7 linked regions of the Mus musculus genome follow. The protein of the gene in region 1 interacts with the protein of each later gene in a pairwise test. Links are inferred from orthologs where the notes say so. Each region holds a gene or a part of one and is shown in the gene's direction. Other genes may lie near its edges. The genes, in order: Birc2, Ppm1k, Hsp90b1, Nmb, Gcc1, Exosc5 and Wdyhv1.

Evidence for each region.
Region 2: the proteins of Birc2 (region 1) and Ppm1k interact in binary tests that used the Homo sapiens proteins (3 or more experiments, as listed by UniProt). The two-hybrid records come from large-scale screens. The link is inferred for Mus musculus from reciprocal best matches to the Homo sapiens genes BIRC2 and PPM1K.
Region 3: the proteins of Birc2 (region 1) and Hsp90b1 come close enough for resonance energy transfer, tested with the Homo sapiens proteins (2 studies listed by BioGRID). The link is inferred for Mus musculus from reciprocal best matches to the Homo sapiens genes BIRC2 and HSP90B1.
Region 4: the proteins of Birc2 (region 1) and Nmb interact in binary tests that used the Homo sapiens proteins (3 or more experiments, as listed by UniProt). The two-hybrid records come from large-scale screens. The link is inferred for Mus musculus from reciprocal best matches to the Homo sapiens genes BIRC2 and NMB.
Region 5: the proteins of Birc2 (region 1) and Gcc1 interact in binary tests that used the Homo sapiens proteins (3 or more experiments, as listed by UniProt). The two-hybrid records come from large-scale screens. The link is inferred for Mus musculus from reciprocal best matches to the Homo sapiens genes BIRC2 and GCC1.
Region 6: the proteins of Birc2 (region 1) and Exosc5 interact in binary tests that used the Homo sapiens proteins (3 or more experiments, as listed by UniProt). The two-hybrid records come from large-scale screens. The link is inferred for Mus musculus from reciprocal best matches to the Homo sapiens genes BIRC2 and EXOSC5.
Region 7: the proteins of Birc2 (region 1) and Wdyhv1 interact in binary tests that used the Homo sapiens proteins (3 or more experiments, as listed by UniProt). The two-hybrid records come from large-scale screens. The link is inferred for Mus musculus from reciprocal best matches to the Homo sapiens genes BIRC2 and NTAQ1.

The regions. Positions count from the first base shown.
Region 1 is NC_000075.6:7,834,185-7,838,407, reverse strand, and holds the start of Birc2 (baculoviral IAP repeat-containing protein 2), read left to right. Parts: upstream 1-1,350; 5' UTR 1,351-1,418; exon of another isoform or gene 1,419-2,182; intron 2,183-2,363; exon of another isoform or gene 2,364-3,028; 5' UTR 3,029-3,929; coding exon 3,930-4,223. UniProt on the Homo sapiens protein: Multi-functional protein which regulates not only caspases and apoptosis, but also modulates inflammatory signaling and immunity, mitogenic kinase signaling, and cell proliferation, as well as cell invasion and metastasis.
Region 2 is NC_000072.6:57,514,911-57,518,559, reverse strand, and holds part of Ppm1k (protein phosphatase 1K, mitochondrial precursor), read left to right. Parts: intron 1-323; exon of another isoform or gene 324-611; intron 612-2,539; exon of another isoform or gene 2,540-2,801; coding exon 2,802-2,967; intron 2,968-3,441; coding exon 3,442-3,586; intron 3,587-3,649. UniProt on the Homo sapiens protein: Serine/threonine-protein phosphatase component of macronutrients metabolism.
Region 3 is NC_000076.6:86,702,593-86,706,785, reverse strand, and holds the start of Hsp90b1 (endoplasmin precursor), read left to right. Parts: upstream 1-1,341; 5' UTR 1,342-1,430; coding exon 1,431-1,479; intron 1,480-2,389; coding exon 2,390-2,492; intron 2,493-3,184; coding exon 3,185-3,326; intron 3,327-3,760; coding exon 3,761-3,877; intron 3,878-4,193.
Region 4 is NC_000073.6:80,902,231-80,906,536, reverse strand, and holds the start of Nmb (neuromedin-B isoform 2 preproprotein), read left to right. Parts: upstream 1-1,474; 5' UTR 1,475-1,559; coding exon 1,560-1,716; intron 1,717-2,230; coding exon 2,231-2,403; intron 2,404-4,033; coding exon 4,034-4,069; coding exon of another isoform or gene 4,070-4,104; 3' UTR 4,105-4,306. UniProt on the Homo sapiens protein: Stimulates smooth muscle contraction. Induces sighing by acting directly on the pre-Botzinger complex, a cluster of several thousand neurons in the ventrolateral medulla responsible for inspiration during respiratory activity.
Region 5 is NC_000072.6:28,418,851-28,423,226, reverse strand, and holds the start of Gcc1 (GRIP and coiled-coil domain-containing protein 1), read left to right. Parts: upstream 1-1,502; 5' UTR 1,503-1,910; coding exon 1,911-2,942; intron 2,943-3,926; coding exon 3,927-4,376. UniProt on the Homo sapiens protein: Probably involved in maintaining Golgi structure.
Region 6 is NC_000073.6:25,657,723-25,662,101, forward strand, and holds the start of Exosc5 (exosome complex component RRP46), read left to right. Parts: upstream 1-1,430; 5' UTR 1,431-1,513; coding exon 1,514-1,661; intron 1,662-4,379. Other genes in the region: Bckdha (2-oxoisovalerate dehydrogenase subunit alpha, mitochondrial), read right to left, coding at 911-1,018. UniProt on the Homo sapiens protein: Non-catalytic component of the RNA exosome complex which has 3'->5' exoribonuclease activity and participates in a multitude of cellular RNA processing and degradation events.
Region 7 is NC_000081.6:58,140,121-58,144,288, forward strand, and holds the start of Wdyhv1 (protein N-terminal glutamine amidohydrolase), read left to right. Parts: upstream 1-1,245; 5' UTR 1,246-1,372; coding exon 1,373-1,461; intron 1,462-3,087; exon of another isoform or gene 3,088-3,149; intron 3,150-4,168. UniProt on the Homo sapiens protein: Mediates the side-chain deamidation of N-terminal glutamine residues to glutamate, an important step in N-end rule pathway of protein degradation.

The DNA.
Region 1 (4,223 bases):
TGTCATGAATACTTTCTTTTTATTATCAGCATTTAGACCAGAAGACTGCCTGTTCTGTGACTGACCGACTTGCAGCAGAAATGACGGGAAAGAAAATGGGAAACGGTTCAGGGTCCCGGAATTCCCCTGGCAGCCTAATTTAGCGGTCTGTTTTACTTCTAAGTTTTTAAAATATTTGCCCATTTAACATGGAATTCCCCCGGAGAGAAGATCTGATTCATTCGTTAAGACCTTCAAGTCTAAAGTAAATTAAACTGTAGAAACCTCACTGGTAGTAGCCTACATTTCTAATCAGCACACTGGAGGCTGAGGTAGGATGCTAAATCCTCGGCTAGTCTGGGCCCTACAATAAAATCCTTTCTTAAACAAACAAATAAAAAAACTGCAAAACTAACCATAACAAATCATCCAAGCCAAACAGGGCCGCGGGGGTGGGGGTGGGGACATCAGAAAGTCCTACCCTGAATGCTAATGATTTTGCAGCACTTTCGGTACGGGAAAGGCAGCAGAGGGTGGGGGGTGGGGAGACAGACTGCTAGTGAACAATGAAGTCAGGGTTATTTTTCCAGTTTTAAACGTATTCTTCTACAATCTCATCACAGATATATAGTGCGCTTTAATCATACTCTCTCCCATTATACTGTTAACCCTTCAATGCCTTCCTCCAAACTAGTCCGCAGCCTTTTCCTTACTTTTTAAATTTATGGCCTGATGCGCTTAATTTGGGTCGCCTGCAAGAGCACTTTTTAAAAAAAATAATAATTTAAAAATGCATAACTACCTCCTCGCCCCAACTGGGTTTGAATTTCTAGGATTCGAGGTGAGCGCCACCATGCCGGCCTGCCAGAGGAGCCCACTTGTCAAAAATGTTAAAGCCCATCTTACAAAAAAACCAAATTATATTTAATGTACACGCACACGCGTGCATTCCGCTTTACTCAGGCGTTTCGAGGCCAGCTCACGAGCCTGAGCCGCCTTACCTATGACGCCACGTTTGCCTTAGTGCCTGTCTAGGACCCTTGCAGGGTGAGGCCGGAAAATACAGGGAGCTAGGAGGCGCGGCTCAGGGCTGCCGCCATTAAAGGTGCACTGCAGGTTAAAACACATGGCATCAAAGTCCGGAACGCCCAGCGGAGGCAGTGGGGCAAGGACGGACGCTCGGGAAAGCCTAGCCTTATTCGTCCGAGTCCCAGCGGCCCGAACGTTTAGCTTCCAAAGCCCGAGCACGCAGGCGCGAGCGCAGGCGCAGGCGCGCGCGACTGGCCCACAGCCCCACCCCGTCCTCCACGCGTTCCAACTTGCGGTGCGCGTCTGCTGACGTCACCTCAACGGCCCGCTGGCCGCAGGGGCTTTTGGGAAGGCTGCGGATCAACAATCAGGCGCCTCTGCTTCCAGGGCGCCGGGGGCCTGACTCGGTGGTGAGTGCGGCTGCCTTCGTCAGGACGGGCGAGCGTGGCTCTCGACGGCTGGGCGGGCTAGCTGACTCCTCCTTCGGCCCGGAAGGCAGTTCTCAGGGCCGCCCGACCCCCGCTCCCTGCCTAAGTCCTTGGGCTTGGACTTGTATAACAGTTTTGCTTTCTTTTCCTTTCGGTTTATTTTTTCAGTCAACCCAGGCTAGTCTCGAATTTGCGGCAATCCTCCTGCCTCCAATCGTTCTAGGTGCTGGGATTACTGGTGTGCAGCACCTCGGCTGTCTCTTCAGATTTTCTGCAGGTTTTTAAGCTTTAAGCCCGCGGCATTTAATGCCTTTAAACTAAGTTGTGCGGCAGGGGGATGACGGTTGTCACATCAGTTACTACTTGTCCCCAGTAGTCGTGTGAGAGGTTTGGTTTAACTGGGAAAGGTGTTCTCCATTCTTGTCTCTCCAAGCTACGTGTCGCCCCCCTGCAGTGGGCGTAGAGCCGTGTCGGTTGGGTGCTTGCTGGCGTTGTAACAGCTAGTGTAGTTAGGCCACACGGGTAGTGGTAGCTTTGTTCAGGCCACTGCTTTACCGGCACTTGTACTTTTTTGGTTTTGAGATGTTACCTGTGGTGGTTAGGGAATGGTTGTCCTTCACGGATTCCGTTTATGAGCTCTTCCCGGTGCCTTTATCTTGGCTAATTTAGCCCTGGCTAGTTCAAATGTTCTGTCCGGCAGGAGCGTTTCATTCCGCATCTGTCTTCCAAGTGTTGAGATTAAAATTGCAAGTATACCTCGGGAATCCTCAGGAAATATTTATATTTTAATATAATAGAAAATATCGTATATATTATTTATTTTATATTGTATTATAACTTAACATATGTTTATGTGTATAAATATATTTTATATGTACTTATATCTGTATTATATATTTCAATTAAATGTTTTAATAGAATATAAAAGTATATATAATTTTTTTCTTGTGATTAAACTTAGGGTTCTTTACCTGCAAGGCAAGTGCTCTAACATGGAGCTATATCAGTAGCCTTACAGACTACCTTTCCACTATTTATGGTGCCTTTTGTCTCCAGTGAAGTGCATATCAAAATATCTTTAAATCAGAAAACGAAAAGAGCCTGGTGGTAGTGTGGTCCTAGCACTTGGAAGGCTGAAGCAAGAGAATTCCAAAAAGTTTTAAAACCAGCTTGGGTTATATTGACTTTCTAGCCAGCCTAGTCTACAGAATAAGACCCTGTCCCTTAAAAAAAAAAAAAGTTCATGAAGTATAGTACATTTTTTTCTAATAGTAAATAAATAATATATAAAAGGAACAAACTTGAAAATCGGGGGCCAGTTTTTGACAAATGGAAATGTCCATTGTTTTCAAAGTTTTAATTTTTAAACTATACTGAGCTATGCATTTTAAAGACAAGCATAACTAGTACTTTGAGAATGCTTTTGCAGTGGTGTGTTTTGATTTAGACCCTTTCTAAGTAGACTGGTTGGGTGAGGAACTGCTGTAGTCAAGATTTGTTATCTAGAGTGTGTCATTTTTAGACATTACTGAATAAATTGATGATGACAATTCTGTGTAATTAGTTTTCTAAAATATTTTTTTTTCTTTCAGATTGATAGTCCTCAAGAGTCTTCATGTTCTCTTATGTTTTTCTAGAAATCAGCCCACTCATGGACATCTGAACATTTCTATAAGACGCTGCGGTTTGCTTTGCAGTGTGTTCTTGTGTATGATTAGTTATATAAAATACGAAGTTTTCAAAAAGAAGGCTAGTGCAACAGAAAAGCTTTGCTAAAACAGATTCTTAGTTATTTGAGGTAACAAAAGAAAGCCATGTCTTGAATTGATTCGTTCTTAATTATAACAGACTTATAGTGGAAAGGGCCTTAAACACAGGCGGACTTTATAAAATGCAGTCTTAGGTTTATGTGCAAAATACTGTCTGTTGACCAGATGTATTCACATGATATATACAGAGTCAAGGTGGTGATATAGAAGATTTAACAGTGAGGGAGTTAACAGTCTGTGCTTTAAGCGCAGTTCCTTTACAGTGAATACTGTAGTCTTAATAGACCTGAGCTGACTGCTGCAGTTGATGTAACCCACTTTAGAGAATACTGTATGACATCTTCTCTAAGGAAAACCAGCTGCAGACTTCACTCAGTTCCTTTCATTTCATAGGAAAAGGAGTAGTTCAGATGTCATGTTTAAGTCCTTATAAGGGAAAAGAGCCTGAATATATGCCCTAGTACCTAGGCTTCATAACTAGTAATAAGAAGTTAGTTATGGGTAAATAGATCTCAGGTTACCCAGAAGAGTTCATGTGACCCCCAAAGAGTCCTAACTAGTGTCTTGGCAAGTGAGACAGATTTGTCCTGTGAGGGTGTCAATTCACCAGTCCAAGCAGAAGACAATGAATCTATCCAGTCAGGTGTCTGTGGTGGAGATCTAGTGTCAAGTGGTGAGAAACTTCATCTGGAAGTTTAAGCGGTCAGAAATACTATTACTACTCATGGACAAAACTGTCTCCCAGAGACTCGGCCAAGGTACCTTACACCAAAAACTTAAACGTATAATGGAGAAGAGCACAATCTTGTCAAATTGGACAAAGGAGAGCGAAGAAAAAATGAAGTTTGACTTTTCGTGTGAACTCTACCGAATGTCTACATATTCAGCTTTTCCCAGGGGAGTTCCTGTCTCAGAGAGGAGTCTGGCTCGTGCTGGCTTTTATTATACAGGTGTGAATGACAAAGTCAAGTGCTTCTGCTGTGGCCTGATGTTGGATAACTGGAAACAAGGGGACAGT
Region 2 (3,649 bases), on another chromosome or scaffold:
GAATACTGATATTCCTGTGTTCAAGATCAGCTATTAAGTGCATGCTTAATAGCTGTGTGTGTGTGTGTGTGTGTGTGTGTGTGCGCGCGTGCGCGCGCGCGCACACACACATACACAAACATGTGCAGATGCCCGTCAGTGTCACTACTGGTCTTTTTGTACAGATGCATATGTACATACATTTTTTTTCTGTTTTGGAATGATCAATAACTATTAACTTTAAGCTACTGAGTTTTGAACTCATTGATCTGGAAGCTCCTGGGATATTCTGTGACTTGCTAGTGAAATTTTCACCAATAGAAACCCTTCCCCTTATTTTGCAGCTCTTTCTCTGCTTCCCCCTGTGTTGCAGGTTTGTTGTGTCTGAGCACAATTTCTGGGTGAAATTCCTGTTTGCCTCTGTGCGGGTTGTTTGTGGCAGAGAACTGTGCCTGCTCAGCTGCTCTAGACCTGGAGCCTGTGGACGCTCTATGCCGGGCTTCAGTGGAAAAGAGATCTGCTTAATTTTGTCTCAGGTGAAGGAGTCCAGCAGTTCCTAGTCTGAACTACTGGAAGGGTCCCGCATCCTCTTTGTGCCATTAGTTGAGATGACTTGCAGAAGAAATTATCCAGTGAGTGTCAAAGCTCAGTGACAGAAATCTTAGTTCTATAGTTTTGTTGTTAGGGAGGCAGGAAGTGAGAGTTTTTACCTCTATGTTAAATGAAAATAAGTGTGGACTCACTGTGTACTCAGTCTTCCCCATCGCAAGCCAGAGTCGGTGCTTAGTTTTAACATTTTCCCCATATATCCTCAGATTTTGAAACTGTGTAGGTGAGTTGAGAGAGAGCTGGGAACTACAACCCAAACTGAAATTGCATTTATAAAGTGTTAGTTCTTCTGTCATCCTCAATTAAAGACCACTGTTGCTGATAGCTACCATGAAGACTAGCGGATCCTCTGGACTGGTAGCATCTAATGACTGCCTGTGTTCTCTTTCTTGCCTTTTAAAATAATTTGAAAATAAAATAGCTGATTGACCTGTTAAGATTGCATTGTGGTATAGTCTTTTAACTAATCTTAAGTTGAAAGCTATAACACTTGTAATAAAAAGCATCTCAATGTTTTAGTTAAAACACTTATGTCACACACTAACGTATCTTAGTGTTGCTGTGATAACCTTGCTTTGACCTAACGGTTCCAAAATCAAGAGATAAATGGGAACATAGTCCAACTGTAGATGCTGTGTTTCAGTAGAGCAAACGTAACATGACTACAAAAGATTGAGTATACTTTATCCATGCTTTTCCTTTTTAGTTTTTCTGATTAAAGCAGGCATTTTAATATAATTACCAAAAAAAGTATTCATCTCTTTCTAAGATGCATTATTGGTAGATTTTCTTTAAAGTTGTCTTTTTAAAAAAATGTTGGAAAGACTTGACTGTCAATGAAATCAATTAAAGTTTTCTAAAATCACCTATTAGAGTGAAAGTCATCTTTGCACGATCAGGAGACTTTCTACAAATATTACATAGAGCCACAGTCAAGTGAGTGGCTAAGGAATTTTTTAATACAAAATTTAAAAATTAGTCAAATTTAAAAATTGACAATGTTTTAAAGAGTTAACGATGTTATTAGAGATAATTCCTGCTTTGTGTAAGTTATTTCTCAATTTCTTACTTTGCTATATTGTTCTTTGGTTCATAGTTTCACAGTATTCCCACTTTCTGCAAGACTCAATGCACCTTAAATATTTTTAGTAAGTGGTGAATGATAGAGAACAGATGATGTTAGACTAAATCAAAAGAAGACACACAAATGCATTTGCTTGGTTAGAAGAAGAAAGAGTAGCCACCTCAAGGCTAGCAACACTGGGCTTTACTTGATGGCAGAGAAAATGCACATGGCTCACAGGTTCTAGTCCGGGCAAGGCGCATAAGTTGCAGCTGGTTCTGCTCATCTGCTGTTGGCTGCAGATTCTCTGATTGGATATTTTGGGGGCTAATAGTGTTAACTATACCATGTTTATAAGGAACTGAAATGAATTTCACTGTCTACTACTCACTCAGATCTATTCATCTAAGGGTGGCTATAACTTTTCTTCAGGTGTAGAGCAAAGAAATCGAAAAAGGGTATGCGACTCTAATTGGTGCAAGCTTGCACGAGTGTGTGTGTGTGTGTGTGTGTGTGTGTGTGTGTGTGTGTGTGAGAGAGAGAGAGAGAGAGACAGACAGACAGACAGACAGACAGACGGACACAGAGTTGACATGGTTCTAGAGGGAAGAATGTACACAGTAGTACTTGAAGAACAGATGGGCTGTACTTTGCCTTTCTCTCTTCACCTATTAAGTGGTAGTACTTTGACTGGATGGGAGTAAGGAATACAAGAGAAGAACCCAAATCTGATTATAGCAAAGGCGTCTCACCTAATGGGCCCAGCAGATCTGTTGTGCTGTCATAACAGCCAGACTAGCGACATTTTCATGTTTTATTTTGATGCCCATTAGGCATACTAAGACGTCATAATTCTTAGTTTTTATCAGCTCTGTTTTTTACACACAGACTACTTGGAGACACTGATGCTTTGCACACCAAATTAGTTTACCAGCCATTTTGTTTGCATGGAGCCTTGTTACAGAGTTAAGTAATCGCTTCTCTGCATGGCATTACTTACATAGTTTGCATTTCATTTGCATAGCTCTGGTTGAATTAGAATGGTTCCTCCCAGCCTTAAGTTATCATGCTTCTGTTTTATTTTGTAATGAAAACTCCATATCTGAATATTCCTATTGCTAACAGATGCTCTGTTTTATAATATTTGTAGCAAGCCTCCTGACCTCTGGGACTACTGCAACAGTAGCCCTGTTGAGAGATGGTGTTGAACTGGTGGTAGCCAGTGTTGGAGACAGCCGGGCTCTTTTGTGTAGAAAAGGAAAACCCATGAAGCTGACCACTGACCATACCCCAGAAAGAAAAGATGAGAAAGAAAGGTACTGTCATCACACCTTGTTATGGGGTGATAGCTATAGATGCCATAGAAACAGTGTTCTATTTTCTTCTCTGGTGTAAAACACCCGGGCCTCTTGAAAGCAGGCGCACAGCCACTACTGCAGTGCAGATTTTCTTGTTTTGGTTGTTTCGGGTTTGTTGAGCCTGGATCTCATGCAGCTCAGCCTGGCTTTACATCTGTACCCTGCTTCCTTGGCCTCTCACACGCTGGGATTATCAGGTTGTGTACACCATACATGGCTTAAATTTTTCATTTATATCTTATTGTGGAATTAACATGGGCTGGCCTTATACTGGAAACCCTTCTCGGCCTTCCCAAGTTCCTAGATTATGGGTATGTTTTGAAACACTAGGCTCTAAATTTCCATTTGTACAATTGGTATTTAAACCAGTGCCATAGTTTCTTGCACACTATATTGTTATTGTTATTACTATTAATACTTTTTCTTAACTAGGATCAAGAAATTCGGTGGGTTTGTAGCTTGGAATAGTTTGGGACAGCCCCATGTAAATGGCAGACTTGCAATGACAAGGAGTATCGGAGATTTGGATCTTAAAGCCAGTGGGGTAATTGCAGAACCTGAGACAACAAGGATTAAGGTAAGACAGGATCAGAAGCATTGAGTCATGCGCAGAGAAATTCTAAGGACTTGTCTCACACCG
Region 3 (4,193 bases), on another chromosome or scaffold:
AAATTGGTTAAAATGAGGCTAAAGAGCTTAGAAAACATTTCGGAACGTACAAGCTGGCCTTAGGGACTTCCCTCACCAGAAAGAGCCTCTTTTGCTATCTTTCGGAAGGCGGAAAGGTGTTTCTATGAAGTTACAAAGCCACAATCCAGGCTGTTTTGCAAGCTCTGCGGCTTTTGCTTTCAAGTATCTGCATAAGTTCTTTCCTGTTCTATGCTAGCCTGGACTTCACCACCGCGCTCTCTGGCTGATTCACAAAAGAGGCTCTAGATTGCCCAGTCATTCTTTGATATTTATGGGGATGTCAAAGGAACTTGGGTCCTTGTTTCCTTCGGGGTTGGAGAGCCCCTGCCACCCTCTACTGCAAACCAAACCAGAGAGGACAGGAAATGCGAGCAGCGCAACGCCAAGTGTAACTGAAGGCTCTAGGGACCCTGAGTGACGCGCAAGAAAGCGGACGTGGAAACCCGGGTGCTACCACCAGCCCAGAATCCAGGGCTGACCCTCTGACACGGTGAGACTAGGGCTACGCGGGGCTGCTTTTCAGGTCCGCCTCTGAAAACTGTGTGCATTAGAGTCCTAGAACAAGCACAGATCTATTCTGCAATCTGAATGAGGTGGAAATCCTATAATCACTCAGAGACATTTCCCGCGGACACAAGATTGGAGTAAGCAAGGGCCAAGCTACGCAACTGGCTTAGATGCCAGAGACTACAATTCCCAGCATTCATGAGATTAGTGCGTTGCATGCCGGAAACTGTAGTTTCTCACCACCATCCAAACGCATTCCGGATATTCAACCCCTCACAAATTTCTCTTTTGCGAAAAGAAACGCCCAAAAGAAAGGTGACGGCGAACGTAGCGCTGAAAGGACTCGTAACGTGACCCGCGTCGTAGACGAGAAAAGGGTAAAGGACGCATTGTCTTGGCTACCGTTTCCCCTAGTCACGGACTAAACGTTCGCTAGAAGCCGGAAGTGGTTCCCCGGGACCTCTAGGAATGGACAGACGTGCTATGCGCCTACGTTCATTGGACGGTTTTCCTCAGGGACCAAGGCTTCCCAGGCCAAAGGGTGGCCCGGTGTGTGAGGGCCCGCGGAGCCATCTGATTGGAGGAAAGCCGCTGGACAAGCCCAATCGCAAGGAGCCACGCTTCGGGCATCGGGCACCGCACCTGGACAGTTCCGATTGGCGGGCTGCGGTCCCCCCCCATGCGTCTCCATTGGGTGCAGAGAGTGCGTGGTGAGGCACGATTGGTGAGTTCGTGTTTCCCGTCCCCCGCCCGCAAGCAGTGGGGTGAAAAGCGGCCCGACCTGCGCGCGGCTTAGTGGGCGGACCGCGCTGCTGGAGGTGTGAGGAGCTTAGACTCGGGATTGGGGGGGTGGAGGCGGCTCCTGAGACCGAAAAGGACTTGCGACTCGCCGGCCACGCACCATGAGGGTCCTGTGGGTGTTGGGCCTCTGCTGTGTCCTGCTGACCTTCGGTGAGTGACCGGGCGGCAGTGGGCGCCCTCCCCTTCCTGTGTGGCCGCTTCTCGAACGTTCTTGGGGCGTTGAACCTGGGTTGGGGACGCCGGGTGGCCTACAGGGGTTTCAGGGACCATCTCGTTCCCTCGAAGGAGACTTGGGTGATGATGCTTTCCCTGAGGCCTCTGGGAAAAGGCGACTTGGAGACCGGGCATTTAAATAAATACCCTGCGGATGGTGCTAGAGCGCTCCCCGAAGTCTCGCTGACGGGGCGCGGTCTCTCGGACTCTACTCCCGGGGGAAGCCTTCCTGGAACCCCTCCCTAAGGACTTTTGTGATCAGGTCCGACCTTTGGCCACCAGAGCCTGAGGACCCCCAGCCCCTGCCCTCTACTCCCGGAGCGCGTTTCTGTTTTCTAACGCCCGACTCGCGAGCGTGGGCCCTCGGGCCAGCGTCGTGGCGGTGGCCCAATATCTGATTCCGATGTGCTTCAAGAGCTGTCCTTGACATGTCTTCCCCTTTGGGCCGGATTTCAGTTCCCCTCAACAGAAGTTGCACAAACCCTGTTTGCATTCTGACCTGTGATAACTAAGTGAGGCCCAAGTTTTGGCTTGGCCAGTGTAGAGACCTCCTCTCAGCTGTGCGCAACACGTGTGGGTGTAGACGGGGGCCTCTCTCACTGCCTAGGATAGACACACGTGATGGCTGCCTGGCCTTCCAGAGTCAACGGGGGTCTTGAGCATTCATATTTAAACTTTAGCGTGCAAACTTACCTTGACATTGGTTATTGACGTCAGTACATAATTCTTCCATCTCAACAGCTTGTATTTACTTACTGAATTGTGTTAACTCTTGCCCCCGTTGATATGGCTTTTTATGCGAAGGAGAGGAAGCAATAGTGTGGAGAGTTGTAACCTTTCTCCCCAGGGTTCGTCAGAGCTGATGATGAAGTCGACGTGGATGGCACAGTGGAAGAGGACCTGGGTAAAAGCCGAGAAGGCTCAAGGACAGATGATGAAGTTGTGCAGAGGTCGGTGCATTTGAAGCTATGTTGATAAGCTCTGCAAGTTAGTGGGGCAGAGTGGCTGTTGGTGTTTCTCCATTCAGATTACAAGGTCCAGTGCCCAAAATGTTGCTAATGATACAAAATAACCAGAGAAGATCTTAGGAGTGCCCATTTATCTGCAGGCAAAAGCTCCTAGCAGTCTGCTCCTGGGAGTGACTGCTGATTCAGGAAGGAAAGTGCTAGGGATAAGCCTCAGCATCTAAAACCAGAAAACCAGTGGTGATGTAGCCCACTCAGCTTGTGCTTCCAACTTTCTAAGACCTGACAGGACACTTGATTGGTTTTGTCTGTGTGAAGTTAGTACTATGAAAAATAGAACTTTTATGCCTTTAACTTTTAAGAAAAGGGCTTTTCAATCGGTGAGGTATATTTTCAATTTTGGCCTTCTAGGAATTAGTGACGGTACTAAAGTGTTCACTGTGCAAGCGTACACAAGTCATGACTTGCTTTTCAGTAGAGGGAAGCCAGATGTATTTTTCTGGGAATTTTAGGAACTATTTCCAGCCGAGCATTAAGCACAGCCCATTCTGTGATGAGAGTGAGCTGGTATGTGAGTGCTCTTTTAACAAGAAGGTCTGCAGAGGCCAGTCTGTGTCCTGACTAGAGACTGAGAAAAATGAAGCTGAGTATTTGCTTATCTAATTTGATTTCCTTAGAGAGGAAGAAGCTATTCAGTTGGATGGGTTAAACGCATCACAGATAAGAGAACTTAGAGAAAAATCTGAAAAGTTCGCCTTCCAAGCTGAAGTGAACAGGATGATGAAACTTATCATCAATTCTTTGTATAAAAATAAAGAGGTAAGTGTTACATGGTTGGGACAGCAGTTTGGATCCTTCCATTAGAAATTAGGAATTAAATTCGGAATGAGAATTCTTATTGGTCCATATTGGGGCAGGAAGGGAGTGGACATTGTCCTGGTCTTTCGTGTCAGCTCAGAATAAGGTCATGACCTACCGACGGATGAAGTCACACAACTGTACCCCTGAGGGAGGGTGGGAGAGGTATTCCTGTTCCCACCACTTCAGATATCCCTTGTAGTTGTCACATAGTGTTATAGAGCCACACCTCCTTTTTTATGAAGAGAGTAAAGCCATCTCTTGCACCATAAAAGGCTTGGTTCCTTGAAGAGTGTCTTCACGATTCCGAGGAGAACTGAGAGGAGTGGATAAGAACCAACATCTTACCATGCTTAGGGGTCAATCGCAACTCATTAAATCTGGCTTCTTTTTAGATTTTCCTGAGAGAACTGATTTCAAATGCTTCTGATGCTTTAGACAAGATAAGGCTCATCTCCCTAACTGATGAAAATGCACTCGCTGGAAATGAGGAGTTAACGGTCAAGATTAAGGTAAGCTTAAAATAACTTTCCTTTTTAAAACGAATCCTGGGAACCCAGGCACTCCGCAGTAGGTCATTCTGGTGTGAACAGTAACTTCCTAGTCACAGTGGGTTAGCATGGAAGTGTGCAGACTGCCTTGAGTCAAACTGACTTTGCTTGTTTTCATTAGGGTTATTAGTGAACAGCTGTACCTAGTTTTATAGTACAAATTCTTTTGTCTAGAGTGGCAGTAATTACTGATAGGGCCTTATGGCTCCTAAAGCCAAAAATAGATACTACCTAGCCCTTTAGGAAAAGGTAGCCAAGACCTCAGCTTAAATCGTTC
Region 4 (4,306 bases), on another chromosome or scaffold:
CACACTCCAGAACCTCAGTAACACGGCCTCAGAAAACTTCCCTGGGCCTGGGGGATGAAGGCTAAGCTTAGGCAGTGCTTGCCGTGCAAGTATGAGTACTGAGTTCAGATTCCCAGCACCAAACGCAAAGCCAGGGGTGTGGGCCAGCACCTAAAATCCCAGCGCTAGGCAGGTGGAGAGAGGAGGGTCCCTAGGCTTGCTGCCCAGCCAGGTTTGAGTCAATGAGCTCCAGTTTCAGCAAGAGACCCCGCCTCAAAAAGTAAGGTGTAGGCTGGGGAGATGACGAAGTGGATAAAAGCACTTGCAGCCACAAGGCTGAGCTAAGTTCAGATTGGTAGAACCCACATGACAAACTGTATGTACTGACACATACATGCAATCAGTGTTCCTGTGGTGAGATGAGAGAGATGGATGGGAGAATAACCCAGAATCTGTGGGCCTGCTAAACTGGACTATATGACAGACAGCAGAAAGAAGGACACCCTGTCTCAAACAAAGCAGAAGGTAAGAACTGACCCAGTAAAGACAGCAAACCAAGTAGAGTGGCTCACATCTATAATCTGGTACTTAGGAACCTGAGACAGGAGGCTTGCTATAAGTTCAACTCAATCTGTTCTATGTAGGAGTTCCAGGACAGAGAGCTACATAGCTCATGTCCCAAACAAAATAAAAAGATTATGCTAGGCAGCACAAATGATGCAGTAAAGGGTCCAAGACCTAATACTCTATTCCATCAGTCACTCCTTGACTTAGTTTCTAATGAGTAAGTGAACTCTTGTGAACAGGAAATTGGTGTCCCCTCCTGCCCCTCCCACAATGCTGGGTCGGAGCACATATCTGCCCCTGATCATTCAGGGATGCCACTGATGACTGAAGATACTTTCCAAGACCAATAAGAACAGCTCTGGAAGGCAGAGTTCTGCTTCTCCACAAGTAGTATGGTTATTTCCGTTTTACACTAGAGAAGTCATCTGGCCCAGCAATCTTTCCACTGATCTGACCTACAGTATGATAAGCCAGGCCCTTTAAAGGGTACCACTACTAGGAGGCAGCTCCTCACTCCCTTCCCCATAATTCTGTCCCCGTTCTGGGCACAGAACTTGTCCAGGTTATCCAGTGTGTGCCATTTGTGAGCACAAAGCAGGGCAAACAAGGCTCAGATGGTTTGAGACAGGAGGTGACAGGATTCTTGAGTTCCTCTGCGGGATGATGCCAAACACATAGACTGCCAAAAGCAGGGCTTCTTGTTCTGCTTTAGCTTTAAGGAGAAGCTTTGAGGGCTGAAGTAACAACTTGATGGAAACACAGAAAGCTGTGTTGGTGGCCTTGGGAACCACCTTTGCTGGGGACGATGCCATAAGCACGCGAGTGTGGTGGGTTTCTAGGAGAAACCGGGATGCAAGGCTGTGTGGGCGGAGCCTGCGGGGCGGGGCTCTGGGGCGGAGCGAGCTCCGCTCCTCAGGCAGGCTCCGCTCCCGACTGTAGTTTAAAAGGCTGGAAGGCGGGCTTCGAGAACTAGTATCCTGAGAGTGCCAGAGAAGAGCCTGTTTGGCACAGCCATGACCCGGCAAGCAGGGAGCTCTTGGCTCCTCCGTGGTCTCCTGCTCTTCGCATTGTTCGCTTCCGGCGTCGCTCCCTTCAACTGGGATCTCCCGGAGCCCCGCAGCCGAGCAAGCAAGATTCGAGTGCACCCTCGGGGCAACCTCTGGGCGACCGGTAAGTGTTAGGGGACCCCCTATAAGCATGCCTCATTCTCCTTGGTCCTCAGTTTCCTTTTCAACACTTTGGAGGCTCTTGGTAGCGGAGCTCCTGCAGTCGCGGGGGGCTCATCAAGTTTAACAGATGGGAATCTTGAGACCCTAGACATGGCTAAGATAACCCACTCAGAAAGTTTAAGACAGAGATTAGATCCGGTTACCAGTCGGTTAGGCAGACTGACAAGTCTTCTCACCTCATGTCTTCTCTGCATCCATTTAGAGGCACCTTCTCCACTTCCTTCCCTGGCAGGTAGTCTCCCTGGTCCTGGGCTATCTACCCGTCTTCTATCCTCCAGCGGGTCAGGAAAAGCTCAGGATGTCAGCTTTGCCTCCACCCAGAGATCTGTGGCTTCTGAGGATAATGTTTCTTGTCTTCCCTCTGTGAGAGCCGAAAGGTCGACTAGACCAGAGCTTGCTGTGGTGATGGGGTCCTCATCTTGAGCTCCCATGTACCTTGGCACCTCCTTTCTTAGGTCACTTCATGGGCAAGAAGAGCCTGGAACCCCCGAGCCTGTCACTGGTGGGGACAGCACCCCCTAACACCCCGAGGGACCAGAGACTACAGCTGAGTCATGATCTGCTCAGGATCCTCCTGCGAAAGAAAGCTCTAGGCATGAACTTCAGTGGCCCAGCTCCCCCAATCCAGGTAAGCCCCCTCCCCAGTACCAGCATGGAAGAATTGCTGCCCAGCATGTCTTCAGGGTGGGACTGCCTAGCCAGACGGTAATGGATTCCAGAAAGCCAAGGTCCCAGGGCTCAAAGGGGGAATATCCCAAAGACTGGAAAATGACGCAGCAGCCAGACTACATGGGGGAAAAAGTTCCTCCTTGCCCATCCCCAGTCTGACGTCGCAGACTAGGAGTATTCTAGCTCTTAAATAGAGTGTTCTCCAGGCCACACAGCCTTGTCCACCCCAGCTGTCATTAGCCAAGCCCACCTTTGCCATGCCAGGCTGTGCTTGTGTCCCAAGCTGTGATCCCTACGGCCTTGAGGTGGAAGGGAAGTGACCAGTGGTGACACCTCAGAACCAGCCTGCTTTCCAGTCTCCCATCCACTTCCCAATGCCAGTGTTCCTGACAGTAAAGGCTCTGCAGGGCTGTCCTTTGCATTTGAGATGCTTAGCACATCCCTGGTCTCTACCCGCCAGAGGCCAGTAGCACATTCCCTTCTCACCAAGTTGTGATAACCAAGATTCCCTGCAGACCAAGAACAATGCACTTGCCTGCAGTCCCAAATGCCTCATAGGTTGAGGCAGGAGGATGGTTTGAGATCAGGAGTTTGGGAAAAACAAAAACCAAAGCCTTCGGACATGAGTGTCGGTGTCCCCCTGGTGGAAGTGGGCTTGACTCACTGCTGGTTGTAAAGCATTGACCTGTGGTGCTCAAGGCCTTGTGGTGCTGCCAGGTGGTGTGGCAGCTCCTCCGTTCTTGGCTCCTGCTGGTGTCCCCTGGTACTCATTGCTGTGTGCAGAAGGCAGTGGGATGGGTAGGATGCATGCTGGGGCCACACCTAGCTAACTAGCTAGGGGAACCTTAGAAATGTGTCTTCATCAAATAGAAACAACAGGCCCACCTCCCAGTAGATGAGATCATTTGTATCACGTGCAGTCCAGTTCTGGGCAACCAGAAAGCTCTTGGAAGCAGGAGTTCCTACCACATGTCTGCAAGCCTCTGGCAGGACTTTGCTATGACGCCCTTCCTACCCCTACTATGCTTAGCACAGTGTGAACATGCTCAGAGAAGAGACATTCCTTAGAAGCAGGTCTACCTCCAGTCCCAGCAAACATCCCTGGAACCCCTGATGCAAAAGCGAGAAGCTTGGGCTAGCTGAGTCCAGAGAGAAAGAGAGAGAGAGAGAGAGAGAGAGAGAGAGAGAGAGAGAGAGAGAGAGAGAGAGAGAGAGCGCATCACCTCTAGGGACATTATTTGGAAGACCTGAAATACCACGACCAACCAGAGAATCTCATAGAAAGCAATACTGCCATGGCCAGTGGCAGGGAGTGAGGTCTGCAGCAGAGCATGGGGGGTAGGGCATGTTGCTGACACTTCTCCAATGCCTTGGGCTTGGTTTCTGTGATGTCCTTTAGTTGTCATGACTACCCTGTGAAGTTGGGGCTATATTCTGGGAAAACCAATCCCCCTGACTCCTCAGGTCTTCCAGGGAGAAAGGTTCTCACTGAGAGGCTCAGCTGAGAGCCTGCAGCTGCCCTCCTGGGTACACTCAGCATTTCCCTGATTTGTGGACTCCAGAGTCAAGTCTTCCCTTCTTGCCTTCAGTACAGGAGGCTGCTGGAGCCACTACTGCAGAAGTGATGCCAATAATGGAACAAACCGGATGCTGGGCTTAGAATGTGTCCATCCAGGGAAGCTGACAATGGAACCCTAGCAGTGGCCTCCTCTGGATGTAAATCCTAAGCTCAAATGTGTTAATCTGTTACTGTGATTTCTGGTTGGGTCACCAGGAATGTTAATGATGCAGACACAAAGTCTTTCCTGCTGTATTTCTTGCTTCCCTGGTGAAGTGGTGAATAAAAATACTGCTCTTTACAC
Region 5 (4,376 bases), on another chromosome or scaffold:
TCGAACTCACGGAGATGTGACGGCTGCCTTGGCATCTTGAGTAGATTTTTATTACAGAAATATTTTCTTAAAACCCGTTGTCACTCTTATTTCATCTCTTTCCCTCCCCGCACCCCTCTCACAGGCTTGGTATCTTCATAATGTCACAGGAATCTTATTTTGTTTCTAGCTCCTCCCCACCCTTTTTTTTTTTTTTTTTTCGAGACAGGGTTTCTCTGTATAGCCCTGGTTGTCCTGGAATTCACTTTGTAGACCCGGCTCGCCTCGAACTCAGAAATCCACCTGCCTCTGCCTCCCAAGTGCTGGGATTAAAGGCGTGCGCCACCACGCCTGGCTCCCTCCCCACTTTTATTTCGTGTTCATGTGTGGAGGTGTAGCTCTCAGAGGACAACCTGTGGGAATATGTTCTCTCTTTCCACCGTGTGGGCCCTGGTGATAGAACTCAGGTCAGATCATTGGGCCTGGGTGGAAAGTGCCTTTACTGCTGAGTCGTCTTACAGTCCCCACAAGAGTCTTGATGGAAAAGAAAAAGGAGACTTGATGGTGTGCTCTTGAGATGAAAATCTTTTCATGTCTTGTCACCTAAGGTAAAATCTAAATGCCTTTAAGTTGGGTCCTTTGTTCCAGCCTCATCAGTAGCCACCCTTCTCCCACACCATAAGCTTCCTGGGCAAGTTAGGCTCACTGATGCCTGACGTCCCTATACACCTTTCCACTTTCCTCCATGCTGGTTTCCCACATCTGCATTGAGCTTGGCAGTCTACTCATCTCTCAAACTTCAAATCATTTCCCCTAAGAGTCTCTGTCCTGGCAGGTGCCTCATCTCCTTTATACCACTTCTGCAATGCCCCGACACACTAGTGTGAAGGCAGGAGCTACCTGTTTGAATCTCTGTGTCCTTGCTGTTAGGAGTTTCTTGGGACAAGGCCATGCTTCTTCAGTAGTGCTATCTGGCATAGCATGTAGTATGTTGAGAGGCAGACTGAGATAGGACTCCTAAACTTCCTAGCTGAGTGACATTGGACATGTTACCCCTCTGTACATTTTACTCTATGTTCCCGTAAGTGTAACTCTTGTGACACAGCCCTGACCCCAGCATATGCTGGTATGCAAGATGGGCCTTATGGCTATATAATGCCCCTTTTACTAATCAGAACTAAGGGAGGGAGCTATTATGCTTTACGTTAACCAGGTACCGGCCTCGTTTTCCTAGTATGAGTCCTAACTGTTGCCCCAAATGTTGGACATTGCCCCAAATAGTTTGATGCGTCTTTCATCTATGTTTTTGGGGCAAATGCAGTGCGACGTCGCCCCCTGTCGCTCACTGGTGGTAGCTTGAGGGCAAAGTTAGGCATCTCCAAACCACTGCTCAGGTGCTTGCTCTAGACTTACCTACGGGTTACTCCCTCTCCAGGCCACCAGCAGACACGGTGCGGAAGCCCCACCCATCTCACGCCCACGGCGGGGCGGGGTCTGTGGCGTTTTGCTGCCGTCACTTCCAGGAGACCCGGAAGCGGTGCTGTTCCAGTTGTTGGGAAATCGTGATGGAACCCGGCTTAGTGTAAACCCTGGGCTTATCGTGGGCGGAGGGAGGCGGGTCTAGGTTGCGGTGGCCACAGGAGCGGCTAGGGCGGGACAGGCTCAGGGCCTGTACTGGAGAGCCTAGGCTGACTGCTCCTGCTAGGTCAGCGTCACTCCGCCTCCAGGTTGGAACTGGCTCCCACCTTCGGCCTGGCTCCTGCAGTGCTTTTGCCTGGCCACCGCGGCCCCTCATCCCGCCCGGACCGCTGGACGGACCGGGTGTATTGCCTGCAGCCAGACGGTTCTCTCTGCTTCACTTTTAGCTGTCCCTGTGGCTCTGCCCAGGGCTGCAAGAACGTTGACGTGGAGCGGTCCACGCCAGAACCCCCATGGAGAAGTTTGGGATGAATTTCGGGGGCGGCCCAAGTAAGAAGGATCTCTTGGAGACCATCGAGACACAGAAAAAGCAGCTTCTCCAGTACCAGGCAAGACTCAAGGATGTGGTGCGTGCCTATAAAAGCCTGCTGAAGGAGAAAGAAGCCCTGGAGGCCAGCATCAAGGTACTGTCGGTATCCCACGAGGCGGATGTAGGCCTCTCAGGTGTGCAGCCTCCAGGTCTCACGTTTCCTGATTCTGTGGATGACCGGTGCTCCACTCACAGTGAGGACAGCACCGGAACTGCCACTAGCTTGGATACCGCAGCCAGTCTTACAAGTGTCAAGGGTGAATTTGGGGTTGAAGATGACAGAGCGGCCCGTGGACCACTTCCCCCAAAGTCTGAAGAGGCCAGTGGGTCAGAGAGTGGCGTTAGTAGTAGCAGTGGGGATGGGCCATCTGCCGGTAGTGAGATGGACAAAAGAGTGCATCAGCTGAAGACTCAGTTGGCCACTTTGACTAGCTCCTTGGCGACAGTCACTCAGGAAAAGTCCCGTATGGAGGCGTCTTACCTGGCGGATAAGAAGAAGATGAAGCAGGACTTAGAGGATGCCAATAAAAAGGCAGAGGAAGAGCGGGGTCGCCTGGAGGGAGACTTGAAGGTGCTGCAAGAGCAGATAGCAGAAACCAAAGCCCGCCTCATTACACAGCAGCACGATCGTGCCCAGGAGCAGAGTGACCATGCCTTGATGCTGCGCGAGCTTCAGAAGCTCTTGCAGGAGGAGAGGACCCAGCGCCAGGACCTGGAACTTCGCTTAGAAGAGACCAGAGAAGCCTTGGCAGGGCGGGCATATGCCGCTGATCAGGTCGAAGGGTTTGAACTGCAGACCAAGCAGCTGACCCGAGAGGTAGAGGAGCTGAAAGGTGAGCTGCAAACCATTCGAGATGAGAAGAACCGACCAGACCCCCGGCTGCAGGAGCTTCAGCAAGAGGCTGCCCGTCTTAAAAGCCATTTCCAGGCCCAATTGCAGCAAGAAATGAGGAAGGTAATTATTCTCATATCCTTCAAATAGTCATTTTAGCTTACATAGGAAATTATTATTTTTCTCTTCTGGTCATTAGATAACTGTAATGCATCCCTATGTGTGTGTGTGTGTGTGTGTGTGTGTGTGTTTGTTTCTCTGTGTGTGTTTTCATGAGGCAGGGTCTTACCATGTAACCCAGTCTGCCCTTGAACTCACAGGGATTTGCCTGCTTTTCCATACCAAGTGCTAGGATTAAGGGCACCCCTCTCCCCACTTAAGGCAGGGTCTTGTTTTAGTCAAGGGATGCCTGGTGAGATAGCGTGAGTTGTTAGTGTGAGTACTGGGACTTTGGTCTGGTTCCACATTCCCAACATGCATAGTGATATTTGATGCCAAGTGAAAAAATTGCATCAGTGAGTCCCGTGAAGTGTGGCTTTGTGTGGTGTCCTTCTAACAGGATGAAGAGTTCCTGAGTATTTCTGGGTTCAAGCCAGATAGCTCTATCTAGGCCTTGGGTGTTGGCATCTTACCAGCTGTGCTGCTTGAGGTGATACAGTGACAGCTGTGTAGGGAAAGCTTGTGTGTATCCTGAGAAGTGTGTGCTTCTAGGTAAGGTGACTGGAGGAAGCAAAGGGGATTTTCCCCAGAAGAAATGCCTTGTGTATACGCTCAGGTGAGGTTTGCCTCAACTGTTTTATAGTGTTCCCTTTCAGTAGAGAGAGGGATCTAGGTTGGGTTTGAATTTACAGGCATGTTGGGAAAGGGAAAGAATGTTACACGGTTTCTTTAAATGATTTGGCTAACAGAAACATACTTTGTATTCAAGCTTAATGAAGAATGGAAAACTATGGTAGAAAGGGCACTTCAGTTAAAAATCCCCAGTTCCCACTTGTTCTGGGTTATTCCAAGCCCTGTTCACTTCTCTGTCTCCTCCCCCACACCCAGTTGACTCTAGGGGTTTTGTGACTTTCCTGGATGCCTTGTCACCTGTTCTTTGCTTTGCAGACAGCCCTTGCAGAGGACCAGCTCCGCCAGCAGTCTCAGGTAGAAGAGCAGAGAGTAGCAGCCCTGGAGAGCCAGATCTCTGAGGTATCTGAACTGCTGGGCACCTACGAGAAAGCCAAGCAGAAAGACCAGCTGGCCATCCAGAAGCTGAAGGAGCGACTTCTGCAGCTGGACCTGGAGAACAAGACACTGGCCCTCGCAGCCTCTAGCCGGTCCTCCCTTGACATCCATGGCGACGAATCCAGTCTGGATATCAATGTCTTGAAGGACAAGATGGAGAAGCTCAAGAAGCTACTACAGGTTGCAGCTAGGAAAAGCCAGGTGACCCTGGATGTGGAGAAGCTCTGCGACCCTGAGATAATGGCCAACTCCGAGGCTGCTGACGGGGAAAAGGCTACCGCGCTCTACTACCAACAGGAGCTGAAGCAGCTGAAGGAAGAGTTTGAGCGG
Region 6 (4,379 bases), on another chromosome or scaffold:
CATCTTCATGCAGACCAAACAACAATGCACGTGAAATAAAAATAAGTAAACCATTTTTAAAAATCTTTTTTTTTTTTTTTTGAGATAGGGTCTCACGTAACTCAACCTGGCCTCAAATGCCTCCTCTCCTACTTCCCAAGCGCTGAAATTACAGACATGTGTCGCCATATCCAGATAAACAAACACACAGGGCTAGGAGCCAAACTCTGGACGTGGCGCGTGCTAGGCAAGCATTCTACACTGTGGTGGTACATTGCCAGACCGCAACAGATTTTGGAAGTGTTATCCTGCCCTTATCAACAATGGATCAAAAGGGAATTCCGAGTTTTCTCCAGTGTTTTCAAGAAAAGTGGGCAGCCAAGCACCGTAGCTTACATCTGTAATGCCAGTACTTGGGAGGCTGGGACAGGACTATCTCCAGTTCGATGCCTGTCTAAGCATCTGGGTGAGCTAAAGGCCATTCCGGACTCGTGGGTGAGATCCTGTCTCAAAAAAATAACGTGGGCAAAGGGTCCTGTTTGAACTTGTAGCTCTCTTTGTCTCCCTTCATAATCATCTTGTGTAAAGGACAGTCATGGCAAAGTCCCTTGCCTTGCCTTTTGATCAGGTGGCATAGGAATCAAACCAGTTTCTTGCTCAACTCCCTTTACAGTTGGAATTTAAGCAATGTAGGACCCTATGAAAACCTGATCTGTCCTTTCAACCCCCGTCTCGTCTCCTTCTATCGAGGCCCACAAGTAGCTGCCTTGCTTTTCCTCTAAAGGGATTCTTCCCTTGAATTTCTCTTCAAGAAGTTTCTCGGACCTTTTCTTTCTTTCCTTCACAGCCCGCGGTGTCTCACACAATGTAAGAATAACTTTTACGTCTCTATTTCTCCCTAAGAAAGACCCCGTGGGGCTCAGATACTCACAGATCTAGCCAAGCCCCGAACCCCAGATCGTCCCAACAGGAGAAGAGCAGCCTGGCGCAGGCCACGGCTCGGCCTCCAGATCTTGGCCGCAGACATCACTATCGCCATCTTGGCTAATAACCACTCCTCCTTTCTCACAGGATAGACATACGGCTGTCCCACCAGATGCCTTATTCAAATAGCAGCACCGCTAGGCCAACACGCTATCTGCTTCTAACCACCTTGCGACAAAGACGCATAAATGAGTAAGGTGGCAATTTTTAGTCTCTAAAATTGCTCCGGTCGTCTGCTTCTAGTTGCTCCTAATTCAGGCAACTAAAAGGACAACTTAACTTGAACCTTCAGGGTTCAGGACCCGGAGCCCTGAGCAAAATGGGCCCTCTCCAAGTCCCTCCCCCTGTTCCCTGTTGTCCAATGGCTATGCCAGAATTGGGAGGTGGAGGTGGGCGGGACCAGATTGTTAGTAAACGCTGAGCCACGTGCTAGGGCCAACTCGGGCGTGCCCTAGACGGGCGCATGCGCAATAGGTACGCGGCCGGTAGAACTGCGCGCGCCGCTAAGCGGAAGCTACGGTGGGAGCCGCAGCGCGCGTGGTCAGCGGCTATGGAGGGCGCAAAGCGTGCAGACGCCAATTTACTCACTGACACCGGAACAGAGTCCAGCCCCCGAAGTCCAGTCTGCAGTCTCCGGCACTTTGCTTGTGAGCAAAACCTGCTGTCCCGGCCGGATGGATCTGCTTCTTTTCTTCAAGGTACGAGCCTCACCAAGTTTAACTCAGCGCGCGCCATCCTCACCGAAGAAGGGTTTTTGAAGAGCGGTTACTGTGTAGTATGTAACCAAGTACGCCCGCCTCCTTGAACTTATTTCTAGATGTTGAGTATACCCACCTCCCGTCTCGAGAAGAAATGAGTTGGCCAGCCTGGTAAATCCCTCTCAGAGGAGATCGAGAGCAAGACCACTCTCATAAGAGTGACTATCCCAGAATAGGTATTTCACCAAGGCAGATATTACCCTTCTCTAGATTTCTTTCTTTCTTTTATCTTTCTTTCAAGACTTATTTTATTTATATAAGAGCACTGTAGCTGTCTTCAGACACACCAGAAGAGGGCATCAGATCCCGTTACAGATGGCTGTGAGCCACCATGTGGTTGCTGGGAATTCAACTCAGGACCTTTGGAAGAGCAGTCAGTGCTCATAACCACTGAGCCATCTCTCCAGCTCCCCTTGACTAGATTTCTTGGGTTTTTGTTGTTGTTGTTGTTGTTGTTGTTTTCACTTTGTTGTTGAACTCACTTTGTAGACCAGGCTGGCCTTGAACTCAGAAATCCGCCTGCTTCTGCCTCCCGAGTGCTGGGATTAAAGGCGTGCGCCACCACGCCTGGCTTTGACTAGATTTCTTAAAAAACACTTCTAGATCCATACATCACCGGTTGAGGCTAAGGTGTTTATTTGCATAAATACCCTTTGAGACAGACACATCACCACCACTGGTTTAAATATAATTACTGTGGCAGATGATACATCTAAGTAAGTGCTCTTCAAATTAAATGTGATCTTCCCATCCTGGGCTGAGAAGCATCTCCCCTTCCCCGGTCCCATCATTTAAGAAAACGTGCCTTTCCTTGGTATACACATTTCATCAGACTAAATGAATAGGGAGAAAAGAGAAGTCTTGTGGCTGAGACCCACACAACCCTATATCCCAGTCGGGCCAGCCAACTTTGAGAGGTCATGAGAGGGTGAGAAACTACCAGAGTAGACAGATGAGAGGGCAGAGACAGAGTTGACAATGGTGAGTTTGTTTGAGATGTTAAAGGCTGATCACCTTATGGCTAATAAGCTAGAGGTCATTGCTTATAGTGGTGGGTCAGAAAGAGCGAGAAAAAAAACAGTTGAGACAAGTCTCCAGGCATTTTCCTGCGAAGGAATCAGATAGATGGGGCAAGAGCTGACGACTGATAGAGCTTAAGAAAGGAGAAAACTGGCAGGTCAGTGGTGGCACACACCGTTAGTCCCAGCACTTGAGACACAGATGCAGGGTCTCTATGAGTTTGAGGCCAGCCTGGTCTATAGAGGGAGTTCCAGGACAGCCAGGAAACCCTGTCTTGGGGAAAAAAAAAAAGGGGAGACAGCTCGGGGCTGGAGAAATGGTTTCTCTTACAGAGAACAAAGTTGAGTTCCCAGCACCCATTCAGGCAGCTTTCAAGCACTTGTAACTTGTGGGGAGCCAGGATATTGGAAGCCCTGTTATGGCCTCTGCAGGGAACTATACACACACACACACACACACACACACACACACACACACATAACTTAAAAAGTAAAATAAATACTAGGGGGAAAAGAAGAGAATTTCTGCAGCCACATCATCGAGATGGTGGGAAGAAAGAGACTCCCTTGCTCGCTGAGAGCACAGTCTATCTAGCAGTACAGGAATGTAGCTCTAGTAAGCACCTGAGTCTATTGGGTTACCTCTGGTTTCATTGGAGAAGCACCCACAGATGTTTAGTGTTCTCATCCCAGGCTGGCTCTCAGCTTAGCTCATTGCTGAAATCAGCCTCCCCTATCTCTTGGGATATAAGAAATAGAGAGGGAACCTTCCCATGTTCTAAAACCCTAAACTCACAGGGCCCTAGTGCAAGCTGGAGACTTGGCAGACTTTCAAAAAGAATGTTGCAGACACTTCTGACCTCAAAGGCTCCTGTAAGAACACCCGATGGAGGGGGCTGTGGCTGCGGCAGGCAAGCAGTGCAAATGATGTGTATGTATGATAATGACACAATATCCCTATTACTTGACATTTGTCCTCACTAGGAGTCTCTTGCTGTGACAAGGACATAACCAGAATCAACGTGGCAGAACCTGGCTTTTCATGGCTTGTTCAGCCTGCTTTCATAGATAACCTAGGACCACCTGCCCAGTGGTGGCGCTGCCCACAGTGAGTGGGGGCCCTTCTATATCAGTTGTTGATCACTAAAATGCCCTACAGGATCATGCAGCAAGACCCTGTCTCAAGAAAAAGAAAATGCCCCCACAGACCTGCCTGCAGGCCAGTCTGATGGAGGCAATTCCTCATTTGAGTTTCCTCTTTCCAGGTATGGCTAAGTTGACAAAATGCAAAGCAAAAGAAGCAACTAGCCGGCACAGTAGCTTACCTTAAAGGCAAAAACAAACAAACAAACCAAAAACACCTGATGGTACAAAACCCCTAATCCCAGTACGGGGGGAGGGAGGGCTGGTAGAGGCCAGAGGAACAACAGTTCGTGCCCTGCTCCCTTAGCTACATAGATAGCATGGTCAGGGCCAGCTTTGACCATATAGAACCTGATTTCAGAAAGTACATCGATGAAAACCTACAGAGCCGGGGAAGCTGCCTGTGTAGGCTTGCCATCTTGGTTTTGCCATCTTGTTTTTTTTTTTGTTTTGTTTTGTTTTTGCTTTGGACTTTGCATAAATGTCCCACCTCAGA
Region 7 (4,168 bases), on another chromosome or scaffold:
GGTCCCTTCTAGAAACTGCAGGGATCCTCTTTCCCTTGCAATCTCTTTCCATCCTTCTACTGAGAAAGCTTAACTTCACACTCACTTTGTACTAACCAAGAGAGGCTTCATGACTGCCACTCCCTGCCTCCCAGCCTCTGTTGAAGGGAGTATTCAAGCTGAAACAATAAATTGGTAACAGACACAAACACATGTTTAGTTTGTAGGATTTATGGGTTTTGGACAGCAGCTGAAGTTCACCAGAATACCACCAGCACAGCACTTTATGGGGTTGGGGTCTCAGAAGGCTGAGAGTCTGTGGGTGGCCTATAATCTAATCTTAAGAAGTCCAGCGTTTGCAGGGAGGTTCTCTGAGCACTTAAGGCACACACAGGAGACTGGGATGTCTATAGAGACAGTTCTCTATGTCTTTAATTCACTATGCATAAACACTGTTTTAGCAATTTGGTGTCTTCTCTTTTGAAAATAAATATGATTAACACAAAATGCTATCCAGACTCTTTAAATCTTTTTTTTTTTAAAAGAAAAATTCTTTTGTAGTCTAGGATCACCTTGCATTAGAAGCAATCCTCCTGCTTCAGTCTCCTGCATGCAAGGACTTTAGGTGTCTGTCACCACACCTGGTTAAAACTTTTTTTCTTTAAAATACACACACACACACGGAGAGGGAGAGAGATCCAGATGAGAAGAAATTAAATTACAATATGGTGAGATCTGGGTGCACTGCACTAACACCCCCCCCCCCCCCCCCCGTTCGCCTTTCTTTCTCAGTTCCTGCTCTAAAGGTTCAGCTTTCGTGCGTGCCCAAGCATCTCTTAGTTTAGAGTTTCTTCTGGTTTCACACAGCGGGCAACCTTAGCTGGAGTTTTAAGTGTATCCGGAAGCTCATATCTAAACACTGGCAACAACACAAGCAATCCCTCCATGGGAGGGCGACTAGGTCTACGCAGCGTAGCTCAAGAACAGGTTCGGTTTGGGGTCCGGGTGGTGGGGGGGGCGGGGCGAGAGGGAAGCCTCTAAGTGCATCCCGCTCTGCCACAGGCTCCACCCACCACGCAAAACCTGGCAAGAACTACACAGTTCAAGTCATCCTAAGATTCGCATTCCCAGCCCCCTCTCCACCAGCCTCGCCCCACCCCCACCCCCCTCAGATCCCACTCATTCTCTCAGGCCCCGCCCACCCGGAACCACGCAGGCTTCGTCATCCCGGGCTCCGCCCTCACGCTGCACGGGGCCCCGCCCACCCGGCTCTCGGCTCTCCCACCCGGAAACTGTCCTGGCCGCCTACTCTGTTGTCCTCTCCTCCTGGGAGACTGGCGACAATTGCGGCCAGCGGGTTGTTTAGTTGACCTGTGAGCCACAGCTTCGGGTCATGGAGGGGGACGGCCCCGCCGCCACGGCCCCGCAGTACCAGCCGGTCTGTCCTACGCGGGACGCATGTGTCTACAACAGCTGCTATTGGTGAGAGAGCGCGGGCGCGGACCCCGGGAATCTGCGCGGTTTCGCGCGCCGCCACCAATGCGCCCCTCTCCTGGATGCTCCCCTGAGTGCTGCTGCTGGCCTACACTGCCCGGGTTTAGCGCCGGGATGAGGAGGGTGGGGAACGCATTTCTGGTCTCCTTAGCTGAGCCTGAGCAGTGGGGTGAAGTCGGGGCGTCTTAGTGCATAGGGACAAGGGAGGGAGGGGAGTTAGGCTGGAGACCCAATGGTAACTGTTGAAGTCTGCATTGATTCAGGTTGAAGTATACGTCTTTATAATTTTAAAGACAATGGAGACACAGAATTTGTGGTAGTAGGAAATCCAGTTCAGGCAACTGGCTACCCTGATTACCTTACTGGCATTACCTTACTGGCCATATGATAATGGTTGCATTTGCACCATCCTTGCCATATGCTAGGCATTGTTTTGCGTGCATGGTGTAAATTAACTCAGTTGAACCTCACAGTAATCCCAAGAGGTAGGTACTGGTGTGATTGCAGCTTGGAAGAACTCTGAGGTACTGAAGGGTGTGCTGCTGTTTTACACAAGGCCCCGGGATTGTGAGGTTAGTGTCCTAGGCTGCTTGTGCAAACACCGTTCACCTTGCCTTTTTTGTCCCTAGGCCTCATCTTCCTTTTGTGTAGGGACTGCTATCCCAACTCAGGAGAAACCTCAGGATCATTTAAATAGACTCCTCTCAACTCTAGCTGGTCACTCAAACAAGGACTCTAAGAACTTAGCATTCAGCTGTGACTGACCAGTGACCACTTTAGCTCAAGTCCAAGTGCTTGCCCTGGTTCTCAATCTTCCAGGGCTGTGACCCTTTAATACAGATCTTCTTGTTGTGGTGACCCACAGCTGTAAAAACTTCGTTGCTATTTCACAACTAATTTTGCTACTGTTAAGAATCGTAGTGTAAATATCTGATATTCAACGCCATGACCCACAGATTGAGAACAGGGGGTGGTAGAGCGATGTCTTGGAGACAGGTTCTGTGGTAATTATTGACACTACAAAGGCTGAACTATAGAATGGTTGTGGTTTGTCCCAGACCACACAACTAAGTGGAATGAGATCTGGAGTCTACATGGTGGTTGGGAGTCCTTCTTTTTTAGCTGTTGCATTATAGATCTGCTCCGCCTGGTTTCCAAATCCTGCTAGTTTTTATCTGGAACATTTACTCTGTGTCTTCCATTTATTTAGTAAATATTTCGTAGGGATGTGAAATGTATGTTGGTTGATTCTATGCACAGAGGATAGAGCAGTAAACAAGGTAGATAAATTTCCTGGCAGTGCCAAGGACTGGCCTCAGCTGGGACCGGGTTTCTGAAAGAAGGGGTGTTTGGGAGCAGTGAAAACTACTTGAAGTCAAATTGTTGGTCCATGCTGGTGGTCTATGTTCCGCTGATGTGGCTTTCTAGACTGCTCTCTCTGTGTCTGCTTGAGACAGCTTTTTCTTGCTATTCTGAAAACTTTTTGGTTGAAACAGCTAGCTTTCTGCTCAAGACAGCTCTCTCTGCTATTAAAAGTTCTAAAAGCTCTTTGGATAGCTCATGGGTTTGCTGACCAAGTCAGAAATCCTGTTAGAAATACTCAAAAAGTAATTCTTGGGTTTTCTGATCAAAATCAGAAAGCCAGAAAAAAAATTCTAAAAGAGCTGTGTTCACTCTTCTGCCAGCTTTTTCTGTTTAGCTGCTAGGAGACATGCTAACAGAGCTGTGTCAGTAAATCTTATTAGAGAAAATTCTAAAAGAGCTAAGAAAAGATCTGAAAGAGCTGTGGTCGCCCTCCTTACATTGTCCCACCATGTTCCAAATCCTGTTAGAAAAAAATTCTTAGCCGGGCTTGGTGGCGCACGCCTTTGATCCCTGCACTTGGGAGGCAGAGGCAGGCGGATTTCTGAGTTCAAGGCCAGCCTGGTCTACAGAGTTCCAGGACAGCCAGGGCTACTGAGAGAAACCCTGGGAGGGTGTGGGGGAGGGCGGGAAGAAAGAAAGAAAAAAGAAAATTCTTGAAGAGCTGTTCTCAACCTCCAGGTTCCCCTTTGATTATCCTATGAATCCTGTGACCCCAGGCCCTTAATTCTTAGGAGACTACAAGCAGATTTTCTCCCCCTTTTTTTAGCATTGTAAAAGAATTCAGAGATCTGGCTGCTTTTGTAAATTTAGCTAGTTGGGACCTTGTCCGGAGATTACCATTCTGACCACTCCTGGACCTAAATTTGATCTGTTCCAGGCTTGAACTCAGAAATCTGTGTCATATAGAGTAGCTGCCTCTTGTCTATTTAGATCTGTGAAACTCCTTATACAATTCATATTGCATCCTTATGTTTTTGCATAGTTGAGAAATTATATATTTTCAAACTCATGTATTTAGAGCTCTTTCCCACAGCCTTAAGGGCTGTCCTGAGGGTCACAGTATTTACCATTTTGCTGAGACATTAGCCACACCTTCGTTTTCTGGACTCATGCTGTCTCAGATTCTCATGGAGTCATTGATGTTAACTGGGAGGAGGGCATTCCTCTGAGGAGTGTGAAAAAATGTCCATAATTATACAAGCAAGCATTATGCCCACACCTGCTAGCCCTGTCCTAGGGGCAGGAATCATGTCATTCTGTCCTACCAAGGCCATGCCAGATTTGGCATGTCAGGATCTCACAATTCTTATATTTCAGTGAGGGGAAAGCA